3 linked regions of the Arabidopsis thaliana genome follow. The protein of the gene in region 2 binds, or shares a complex with, the protein of the main gene of each other region. Each region holds a gene or a part of one and is shown on either strand. Other genes may lie near its edges.

Region 1 (3,585 bases), on a different chromosome or scaffold from region 2:
TAAATCAGTTCCCTCACATCTCGCAGACCAATTCGATTAAAAACATGAACTTTCGGACATATTAAGAGGAAAAGGAACAAACTTGCAGATTGAGGCTTTAACCCAGAATAAAGCTTGATGCTACAGCTGCAAAAAGGACATAACAAAGCAATCAGATGCAAGTGAATATGTGTGAACAGAGACAAAAGTATGTAAATTTAGATAAATTGAAGATTACCTCGGACTCAGAGAAGGCTGGTGAAGCGTTGTATTAAACGAGACCGCCATGGTCGTCGAGCGTGTTAGAGCCGAACACTAGATTTTTTGTTTGTTTTATTTTAAGACTAGAAGAAGTGGAAAAGCTTACATACAGATTGGGTAATTTGTTGAAGAAGATTGGTTTATTGGTTTGCTTAACCGAATTGGTTCACATGTGCAAATTGTATGTGGTTAACTTAGTTTCTGATTTTACTTGGTTCATCCTTCATGAGTAAAATGAAATTTGGAACTTCCGAATTCTTTAATCTGTTTATTATCTACTACAAGTAATTGAACAATAACCAAACAAACGTGTTTATTCAACAAAAGAGTGACAAAGTAATCAACACAACCAGAGAAAACCGACTGATACTAAACCGGTACAGAGAGATTATTTGTCAACAAAGTTCACTTTAACTCTATTAAAGCATGAGCCATATCAACCAATCTCACGATCTCAATGAAGTTTTTATTCATTTGAATCAAATGAAAGAAAAACAAGAAGCAAGTGTGATGTGATGTGATCTAAGAAGTGGGCTTCTCGTAAGAGTTTTGATCTCTAAAATCAGAAATGGCGCTGCGGATCATCTGCTCTACATGTGGTTGCACGAACAAGTGAGTACTATCAAGTACATGAATTATGAATTTCTGAGACGGAGGCATCGAATTGTTCATGTTCACTATGAATTGTGTCATCGGAATATCGCTGCAAACAAACAAAAGATACAAAGAAACAATGAATGATTCAATTGTGTTCATCAAGATTTGCTTAGGAATCGTAACAACGGTAAGAAGTACCAAGAGACGAACACTCCTTTGATTGCATTAACCATAAGTAAAACCTGTAATACAAAACACGAATAATCTGAGCTCAATTTTCATCAAAAGATGACCCAAGAACATCCTCGATAACTCAGAACATAGATGAATGAAAGATTAATCCTTTGTTTCAATTCAAGGACCCCAAATTACTAGATGCAACGATTACATAACTGGGGTTTCGCTACCTAAACACCACAACATAAACTCGATTCCCAAATCTTAAGACTTTAACGATTACAGACCAAATAGAAATAGGATGAAACCAGATCAATTTGGTCTAGAGATCAACCACACACCTGTGAAACCACACGAAGAAGATTGGAGGAATCAATCAAGAGGGTAAGCGATGTTTGAGGCAGAGAAAGAAATCACCTTGATAACGACGATTATTGTCACAGTAAAGGAGAGAAGGATTAGCTTTATAAGATAACCTAATTACAAAACTGAAACAGAAGGTTCGGATCATCTTTTAAGTTATCGTTTATTACATCACTCAAAAGGGTTTCTCACTTTTAAAAGTCAAAGTTCACATGAATTAACTTTTTTTCTTCTTATATTTGAAATTATTCAGTTTCATTGTTACTGTAACCAGTAGTTTACGAGCTTGATTGCTTGTACAAATAATGATCAAGACATAAAAAAAACAGTTAATCTGAACATGTTTCTAAGAAAGAAATAAATACACAAATCTTCCTGCCACTAATCTTACAAACATCACAAAGCAAACACTTTTCCTTGCTTTTTTTCATGTCCACAAGCATGTCGCTGTATCTTTAAGCGTAGTGTCAATAAACCGAAGAAGATGGACCATGTCTTCTTCATTAGTCAGTCCTCGTAATCATCCAGCGCCGAATAAATCATCCTACGAAAAAAAGTTGCAAACAGAAAGTGTTTTAGCTCTCTTGATCTACTTATGGTTAAGCAATAATGGGATTCGAAATATCTTTCTCGTTACCAGAAGATAGTGAGAAAGAGGTTAAGGACAATGTAAGCAAGCTTGAACAGCCGTTTCTTCTTTTCCCAGTTAAGCAAATTGAAGATCTCGGTGACATCTACTAAGTGTTGTCGCTTCGAGTAACTGAACAACGGAGAAACCGAAAGGATATCAATACCACAACATTTGATTGGAGCAAAAGATTGAGATTAGTTGGACTTACAGATGGAAGTTGTAGTATAGATAGGGGAGACATAAGAGTGTCATGAACCAGTGTCCTGTTAGGAGGTAGAATACGCATAGAACTCCTTGAACAATGAACTCCGGTAAAACCACTGAGTTTATTCTCGACGCAGAGTCGTAAGGGTTGATGTAATCAAACTCGAGATCCGCTAAGCAAACAAGCTGCAAATGAAAGAATTCAAATTCAGAAAAGAGAAGTTAGCTTCCTAGAAAATGTCTTCCCAAGCTGTTTATACATGGAAGATTCCGTTTGCTAGCTTATCAGTCTCAGTGACTCCTCTCATTAGAGTCTACACAAACAAAACTAAAGGGTTCACTTCATTATGCCGAAATGGAGCTCATTTATAAAAGAACAACCTGTGCTTAAGGAGGTAAATCCTCAGACCTGACATGAACATCCAACATAAGAACTAACTATGAACCTATAAAAGTGTTTTGAGAAGCCAATACGCACTATATATGTTCCTGAATTTACTCCTTTGATGATAACATTCCCAAAAATTACACCTTTACTTCTTCCAAACATGTGACAAGAACATAAAACCCTAATTCTAGCTAAATCACAGACTACCCAGAAACAAAAAAAAGGCTCCAAATGAATCAAAATGGACAAATATGGTATCATTATAACCGTAAGCGAAAAAATTGGCAAATTCCGATAGAAAAGTTAAGAACTTTGGGTTTATTTATCCTAGAAATTGGGAATCGCACCTGATAGACGATGATTCCGACAAGAGCGATGAGGAAGAAGAAGGAAATAAGCCATGTCCAGATATCTCCCATCTTCCTCCTTTTGGTTCCGACAATTTCCTCGGATCTATCCTCGTTGTTTCTTGGTCTTCTCTCTCTCTCTCTCTCCTCCCAATAATGTTCGATGAGGAACAGAGAGAAAGTTAGGACAACGACTTAGTGGTCGGCTAGTTTTGACAGTTGAGCTCGAGATTCTGATCGGAAACAAAGAAGCCTAGAGAAGGCAGGCACGAGACTCAGCTTCCGGTTCAGTTTCCGGTTAAAATCGAATTCGTTATTTCCCGAAGTACGTACCATTTACGCCGGTTTAATATTTCAGTATTATGAATCTATGATTTATAAGCCATTGGGCCTCTATAGATTTAGCCCAATTAAATAGTAAACAGTTTGGGTTTGGGCACGAGAGCCGTGTAATTTTTGTTGAGTCGTGTATAATTTTTTTTAGGTCATTGTCTTATTGTATAGTTTTAAGGAAATCAAAAATGAAAAATTAAAAACAAAAATGGTACCAGAAACCATTCAATCATGTGATTGAGAAAAGCCAGCTGTTTTCTAGTACGAAGAAAAACAAGCTTCATCTTTTCCATGTATTTTTCTTT
Region 2 (3,755 bases):
AAGAAAACCTAAACGAAGACACCCTACCTTAAAAGACCGTTAACATTTGATATTTGTTTTATTATGTGAATTGATTAATTGATATTAGAAAGTTCTTTCCTTTTTTTTGATATTTGTTTTCTAGCATATCATGATATCGCCTCGAGAATACCTTTGAAAATTATTTTGTTATTGTCAACTGTCATGATATCTCGCTGAACCAACATATAAAACACGATTATAATTTGGTTGACAGATCCTGAACAACAGTAAAACGTACTTAGTTTTCGAGGTTAAAAAATAATTACTTGTCATGATTTCGAATTAAAAATAATAATGGGCTCAATTTGAGATTAAAGAAAGCCCACGCTAAAAGAGGCCTACTAAATGCCCATATTGGATCCGTTATTGTAGCCTTTCTATATATGAATCGAGTTTGCATTTCTGCTATAACGTTCTCTGCATTCACATGATCACATCAACTCAGTAACGGACTCGACATACCCGGACCTGGACCCGACACCGAATCCGAATCATAATGCGACGGAGACGCAGCTCGCTTCTCGGTCTAGCTTACAACGGAAAATATTTACGGTACCGTTTGTTTTCCCTCTGTCGTAGAATTTCTGTCTTCGACACCGGATTGATATAATCGATTGAAAAGACAAGAGATAATGTCTAAAATTGATTCGATGAAGAGAAAAAGATCAATATGGGGAACGATAAAAGTCTCGATCTTACTGATTTTGGTTAATTTTCATATTACCCTGCAAAAAAAAGTATTGTCAATTCTGGGGAATTTTGTTGTTCAGGTGAAAGATGAAGAAGACCCGACTCTGTGTGTTTTTTCTTTTAAGTGTCGTACTGATGAAGAAGATCTGGGTCAATTAGTCATCCGTTATGGCCCAGTTGTTAAGATGTTATCCAAATCGTAAGAAGAAGGCCCGACATGTTTTTGAGACGTTGGTAAGAAGAAGGTCTTGCTTCTTTTGTGCATCCAGATAATGTCTATATGACCAAGGTAAGAGCATCCTCATTGCACATCCTCCAATGAATGTCTTTCATATTAAATAATATTAAATTTAAAGACCCTCTCTCTTTTGACAGGTAAAATGTCTACTATTAAGACACATCCATTTATTATTTTCCACTTTTTTAAGTAGTTTAAAAGTTTAAAGACACCCATAAAAGATATGCAATGAGGATGCTCTAAGGGACCGAGATTATATACTGCTGCAGATGGGGTAATGTAATGCTATTTGTCTTGTGCAGGAGCGTTGGATGTACATTGGTCTCCTCTTGGTTCATACTTTGTGTCACTTGAGAAGGAGAAGAACGTGGCAACTCTTTGGGCATTGAATCGTCTCCCATTCTCAGACCATGTACATTGCACAATTTTTATGAGTATCATAAGCCCAAAAATATTAAATTAATGAATAAAATAACTGATTTGGGTTTAAGTAGTATCACTGGAGTGATTTCTTTGATACCAGTCTCTGATAACGTGGCGGGTTATGATTAGTTGGGAAAACATGTTTTTGTGTGAAAAGAGAGAAATTTTTTTTTTCGATTAGTCGGGAAAACGCATCTTTTCGATTTTGCAATTTTTTTTTTTTAATGATACTAATACGATTTCACCGGTGGAAACAGATTTATTATCAATATTATAAAAAGTTTCAAACAATAAATAAACATTAAAATTAATAGTAAAATATTATTAATGGTACTCTATGAGTACCAACTATGTGCATGCTCTCATGCGCTTTCCTTCCTCATCCTATGGTTTGTCTTTCATCTCCCATTTTGCATATGTAAGAATAATCTTAGAGGCTAAAAGAAAAAAGAATGGGCTCAACGTGAGAATAAGAAAGCCCACATTAAAAGAGGTCTATTAAAGCCCATATTTGATCCGTTATTTATTTGTAGCCTTTTGAATCTTCTACTTTACATTTCCCTTCCTTGACATTAATGATTAAACCAGTGATACCCGAACCCGACACCGAATCCGATTCAAAATCCGCCGGGGACGCAGCTACTCCCTCCGCCAAATAGCTTTCAACGGTAAATTTTCACGGCGCCGGTTGTCTTCCTTCTTTGTTCTTCTCAGGAATCGCTAATTGATAACTTCAATTGGAAGATACAAGACAAAAAAAGAAGATCAATATGGGAAACGGTATTAAGCAGCTCGATCTTACTGATTTTTGCTTAGTTTATCTTGCCAAACAAAAGTATGCCAATACTGTGAAGTTCTGTTGTTCAGGTGAAAGAGGAAGACCTAACAAGAAGATGAAGTATGGTGGCAAGGTTCGTCTTGATTCTTCTCCAGATCAATTTTTTATTTTATCAATTAGGGCTCTTCAGATGGTAGTTAGTGAGTGTAATTGTACTGTCAAATCTCAGGATGATCAAAAGATGAAGAACATCCAAAACGCTGAAGATTACTATGATGATGCTGATGAAGACTCTCGTGATGGTAAGATTGTAGCATACTTATTACTTACAAATGGATACATTTGGAACAAAATTGAATTGAAAAGTTATAATGGTTTTTGAAGGTGAAGGAGAGGAGAAGAAGAGAGATTTTACTAAATTGGAGTTGAAGCCAGATCATGGAAACAGGCCTTTGTGGGCTTGTGCTGATGGAAGGATTTTCTTGGAGACATTTTCTCCTCTCTATAAACAAGCTTATGACTTTCTTATCGCCATTGCTGAACCCGTTTGCAGGTTCGATTTTGATTTGGTGATTATATCAATGTACAAGTTATGATTTTTGTTGTTGATTTTCATTCATTTGTTACTATTTCAGGCCTGAGTCAATGCACGAGTATAATTTAACCCCACACTCGTTGTATGCTGCTGTTTCCGTTGGTCTTGAGACAGAAACTATCATTTCTGTTTTGAATAAACTGTCTAAGACTAAGCTACCCAAGGAGATGATTGAGTTCATCCATGCTTCTACTGCTAATTATGGGAAAGTAAAGCTGGTTTTGAAGAAGAATCGGTATTTTATTGAGTCCCCATTCCCAGAGGTAAGTTCATTAGGCTGATGCTCTGTCTCTGCTCTTGTGTATTTGGATATTGGTTTTCGTTTTTCCATTGCCTTTGCTCAATTGTAAACACAAAACAATCTCAGGTTTTGAAAAGGCTTCTCAGCGACGATGTTATAAACCGAGCTAGATTTTCTTCTGAGGTATGTTGAACTCCTCCATTTAGTTCATTATGTTTGCTTTCAAGATTTTATGCTGGATGGAAATACATACCATTTTTGGTTGTTCTCAACGGTGTTTTGCATCTTTTGTCACCAGTGTGGCAGATATATATATATTTTGATTCTCTCAGGTTCTTGGTTTCATGTTTATATTCCTAACTCCTAAGTTCCTTGGAACGATGTTTCAGTTGGTAAATTAACTCATAATCCTTTTTTCTTAAACTCTTGATTCATTGACTGTTGATTTATTTAATCTAATACCATTGTATTCTCCACAGTATGTCGAACCAACTTAGATTAACTTTTTTGGTAGCCATATTATGGCGGTGATGGATTCTCGGTCGGCAGAACATGCGGTGAACTTGAAGCAGGACCCGGGGAGCTATTGAATGAAGCGGAATTTGCAGCAGCAGCAGAAGAGAAAGAAACTCACTCATTTGAGATTGACCCTGCACAGGTAAATTTCTCCTAATGCTTCTTAAAAGTAATCGAATTGATGAGTTTGGTAAAGTTGTATGATCTTTACTTAACTCGTGGTGTCATGCTCTTTTTCTCTTGGTGTTTAGGT
Region 3 (3,755 bases), on a different chromosome or scaffold from region 2:
TATCTATTGTCTTCTTGTGGCAAAAGCACCTGCAAATTTTGTACTTAAAACCATCTGTTATATATGCAGAGGAAGACCCGATTAATTGAAGAGTTAATGACTTGATCACTTACGATGCGCGAAAATCTACACCTATGGGTTTAGGAAGTTGTACAAAACCGCGGGAGTGCAAATCGGTTGCAAAGATTGTCTTTTGTGCAAAACAAAACAATCCAGAGTTAGCAGCCATTGAGTATTGAGTTCGCTAAATGAGAGACGAGTCACATAATGGTTTGCGTTTGGACTTGAGTTGCGTACCGTTAGATATTGAAATAGCCCATCCAACTGTTTAGGTGTATGATGTACACCACCAGTTATATAAGATGCCTACAAATAAGCCAGGAGATAACAGCTGACGCATAGGTCCAGTTTGACGAGTTAGAATCATGTATAAAGGAGAAATGATATTACCTGCTGCAAAAATGCTGAGTTCTGTACACCTATGTAACACGAATCAATGGGAACCTAAAGAACCAATTGATGAAGTGATTTGGGTACATGATACTGGATTTAGAGAACATCAAGAACCGGAAATCCCAAAGAACCAATCAAAATGAAGATTACCATCAAGCGTTGGGCAGAGAAGATAGAGTTCATAACAGCAACATACCTGAAAGAATGACAAAACCTTTTAATGAGACCAGACAAACAAGACAAAATCTTGCAAGTAGAAAAAAAATGAAGGAAGAAACATACTGTTCCGGGCCATCTGGGGAACCTTGCAAGCATAAAATCTGTATTTCATATAAACGTCAATAGCACAATCAGTTCTGTATTTTGGGGGTATACGATAGAACAGATAACACATAAGAAAAAGGAGTCTATATTCTCATTAATACTTTAAGCTGAAGATTCATACAAAGCAATCAACATGAAAAGTTTTATCCAAGACAACTGATTGATACATATATCCTACTGAACACTCACCCGAGGCTGGGGATGAAGATGTCCAGAACGGAAAACCCTCTGTATATCTAGAGCCATAAATTAAGTCAACAACAAAATGTGAAGACTGAAAATCAAATACATATATTACCAGATAACATTGATGGCCTTAGACATGCTATAGGTTTAGCTGAGAACAAACATGTCAACCTAAAATGTTCCTTACTTAACCCAGTCTAGAGAGAAAGCTAAGCTTCAAGATCACTGCCAGAACTTATGCAAACAAATCCTAATAGTTTGTACTATATATAGCTTCAAGAAACCTATCATGATGCTATATGCTTTTCCAAGAGGATACAGCAAAGAGCCATGGAGAGTGATCCTGACAAGAGACAAGAAGGTATTCTATCCTCAGACACTTCCTCCTTGCTGAGCTCCTCATCTTTGGTAACAAACTCTTCCAATTTCTTAAGCAAAGAACCAAAAATTGCAGGCATTCCAGTTCCATTGCTCTCGAAATTTCCATGATTTGATGTCAAAGACGAATCATAAATGTAATCACAAGAACTGTATCCAGTAGCTATAACTACAACTTGGTTCAACTGATTTAACCCCAAAACCGCATTAAGAAACGCAAGCACCTACACATAACAGCAGCAAGCTTTCTGCATAAAAATCGAAGCATTGAACAAACAAACAATAGATTCGTTAGAGACACTTACATGAGAAAGGAACTGAGAGAAGGTAATCGATGTAGTGCTCCAGAAAAGAGGATTCGTATCAAGCAACAAAACTAGAAGACTAACATCGTCTGCGACCAAAAAAACAATCACGAGCCAATCAGACTTGTTTCCAGTTTTTGGGATATCTAATCTACATACTTATACGATTGAGGAATGTGAGGGTTTCGAAGTAAGAGGAATTTAATAATAACCTGAATACTGCTTAGAAGCAATGGCAGGCATAGTTTCACAGACGATTCCAAGTCAGAATTTCAGTGTGCCGGGAAATCTTCCCGGTGGGAACGAGATCTGATAATGCTATTTCAGTGCCGGGAAATCGTTTTTTTTTTCTTCTCCAATATATCTTCACAACAGGTCTTTGAGTTTTCCGATTACGAACCAGAGTTAAAGAATGAAATTCTCGGATGCTATAGTAACTTACTGAAAAATTCAAGGATTTTTAGCTTATACAGAAATCTGAAGTGATTTGGTAGGAGCCGGATCCATCAAACGGGTTTGGATCCGAATCAGATCCGACTATAAACGTCGTATCGTAAGCCGGGCTTACTAAGCCCAAATATGGCATTAGTTCAAATTTTTAGATAGGCCCAGTTTTCTTTATGAACTAAACCGCCTTTTACAAGGGCCTTTTGTTTTCTTTGTTCTTTCTTTTGGAAAAGAACACCAAAATCTCAAGGAACAAATTTATTTTTCAAACTGGCTACTGATACGAAATTCAGTTTATTCAAGCTTTATACTATCGGACGTCGATATATTAATTTTAATGGTAAAAAATTTTGGTTGAAATGTTGTTTGTTTCAATACTAAAAATTAGTAAATTCACACATGTCCTGATATCCAATCCATCCTATGAAACTATAGTCATGTTTGGAGATCGTCTTGATATATAATACATGGGGCATAAAAAGCTTACTACATTTTTTTGGGAGTAACAACTAACAAATAAACAAACAAGTTTTTTGGTTGGAAAAAGAAGCAAATCACATTCATAAAGGTTTGATTGACTTCATATAATTTGATTGTTATTCATTTGATTGACTTCATATTATTTTTATTCAGTATTCTTTGGATATATACGCGCATGACAATCGACATGCTAAATACTTGTAATCCGTAGGGTCATGTGTGACTGTCCACTAAGAATCTGAAGATCTAATCATAGTTTTTACTAAAATCATATTAATAATTAACTTGGCAATATTAATGGCGATGGCCATTGGAAAGCTTTTGCATGATGGCCTAAATATAACTTATTGTTTGGTCATTTTCATTAGAAGTCCTTAGCCTCCGAGGTACATTGAACCTCACAAATTCACATTAAACTTTAAAATCTCCTATAGTTTAGTATATGAAAATTATATAACTAAATTCCACCAATGTCTTTATGAGTAAATAATAATCTTACTATCAAGTCAAATTAATATCACTAAAATAAATGTTTTGAAAGTATTATTATTTTTCAACAACAATGGATTATGTGTTTGAATGTGAAGATAACGATTCTGATAGGTAACACAAAGCTTTAAAGTTGTTTTAGCTGTAAATTAGAATGCAAAACTATATAAATAAGTAGTACAAAAAGTTAAAAATAACGTTTTTATAACGCTTTTGTAATTTGTAATATCACGGTACATGCTGTACCAAACTTTGATAATTGAGTTACCATTCAAAATCACTAAAACAAACTCTTTAAATGCATATAAATCTAATCATTAATGCAAAACGTTAAAAGTAACGCTTTTATAACGCCTTTGTAATTTGTAATTATCACGATACAGGCTGTAACAAACTTTGATAATTGAGTTACCATTCAAAATCACTAAAACAAACTCTTTAAATGTATATAAATCTAATCATTATTGCGTAGATTTATCTCAATATACACAAGCCACTATAGCCAGGTTCCGGGTAAGTAGGACAGATAGCAGTCCCATGCATTTAACCTCGTGCAAGATAAACATAAACGGTAGACACACTAGTTGCCATTTTTAGATACAACTCAACAAATAATAATTAAGATAAAGAACAAAAAAGAGTGATTAACATTTAATGGAAAGATTTATTAGCTTCCCAGGCTCCTCACTTAAA

The links.
Region 1: XPB1 (region 2) and AT1G12400 share a complex: the UniProt entries of both Arabidopsis thaliana proteins name them as parts of the 7-subunit TFIIH core complex.
Region 3: XPB1 (region 2) and AT1G18340 share a complex: the UniProt entries of both Arabidopsis thaliana proteins name them as parts of the 7-subunit TFIIH core complex.

What each region holds. Positions count from the first base shown.
Region 1 is NC_003070.9:4,219,781-4,223,365, reverse strand, and holds AT1G12400 (Nucleotide excision repair, TFIIH, subunit TTDA), read right to left. Parts: upstream 1,540-3,585; 5' UTR 1,356-1,539; intron 1,080-1,355; 5' UTR 1,071-1,079; coding exon of another isoform or gene 1,036-1,070; 5' UTR 997-1,035; coding exon 763-996; 3' UTR 501-762; downstream 1-500. Other genes in the region: CLP2 (CLP protease proteolytic subunit 2), read right to left, coding at 83-126, 218-267; AT1G12390 (Cornichon family protein), read right to left, coding at 1,885-1,921, 2,015-2,137, 2,217-2,398, 2,948-3,019. UniProt on the Arabidopsis thaliana protein: Component of the general transcription and DNA repair factor IIH (TFIIH) core complex, which is involved in general and transcription-coupled nucleotide excision repair (NER) of damaged DNA and, when complexed to CAK, in RNA transcription by RNA polymerase II.
Region 2 is NC_003076.8:16,549,195-16,552,949, forward strand, and holds the start of XPB1 (DNA repair helicase XPB1-like protein), read left to right. Parts: upstream 1-1,924; 5' UTR 1,925-2,142; coding exon 2,143-2,152; intron 2,153-2,239; coding exon 2,240-2,283; intron 2,284-2,379; coding exon 2,380-2,452; intron 2,453-2,534; coding exon 2,535-2,703; intron 2,704-2,785; coding exon 2,786-3,008; intron 3,009-3,112; coding exon 3,113-3,169; intron 3,170-3,500; coding exon 3,501-3,644; intron 3,645-3,753; coding exon 3,754-3,755. UniProt on the Arabidopsis thaliana protein: ATP-dependent 3'-5' DNA helicase/translocase; binds dsDNA rather than ssDNA, unzipping it in a translocase rather than classical helicase activity. Component of the general transcription and DNA repair factor IIH (TFIIH) core complex.
Region 3 is NC_003070.9:6,311,846-6,315,600, forward strand, and holds the start of AT1G18340 (basal transcription factor complex subunit-like protein), read right to left. Parts: upstream 2,087-3,755; 5' UTR 1,890-2,086; coding exon 1,859-1,889; intron 1,736-1,858; coding exon 1,647-1,735; intron 1,566-1,646; coding exon 1,283-1,565; intron 1,014-1,282; coding exon 967-1,013; intron 774-966; coding exon 736-773; intron 650-735; coding exon 604-649; intron 505-603; coding exon 451-504; intron 367-450; coding exon 298-366; intron 191-297; coding exon 114-190; intron 30-113; coding exon 1-29. UniProt on the Arabidopsis thaliana protein: Component of the general transcription and DNA repair factor IIH (TFIIH) core complex, which is involved in general and transcription-coupled nucleotide excision repair (NER) of damaged DNA and, when complexed to CAK, in RNA transcription by RNA polymerase II.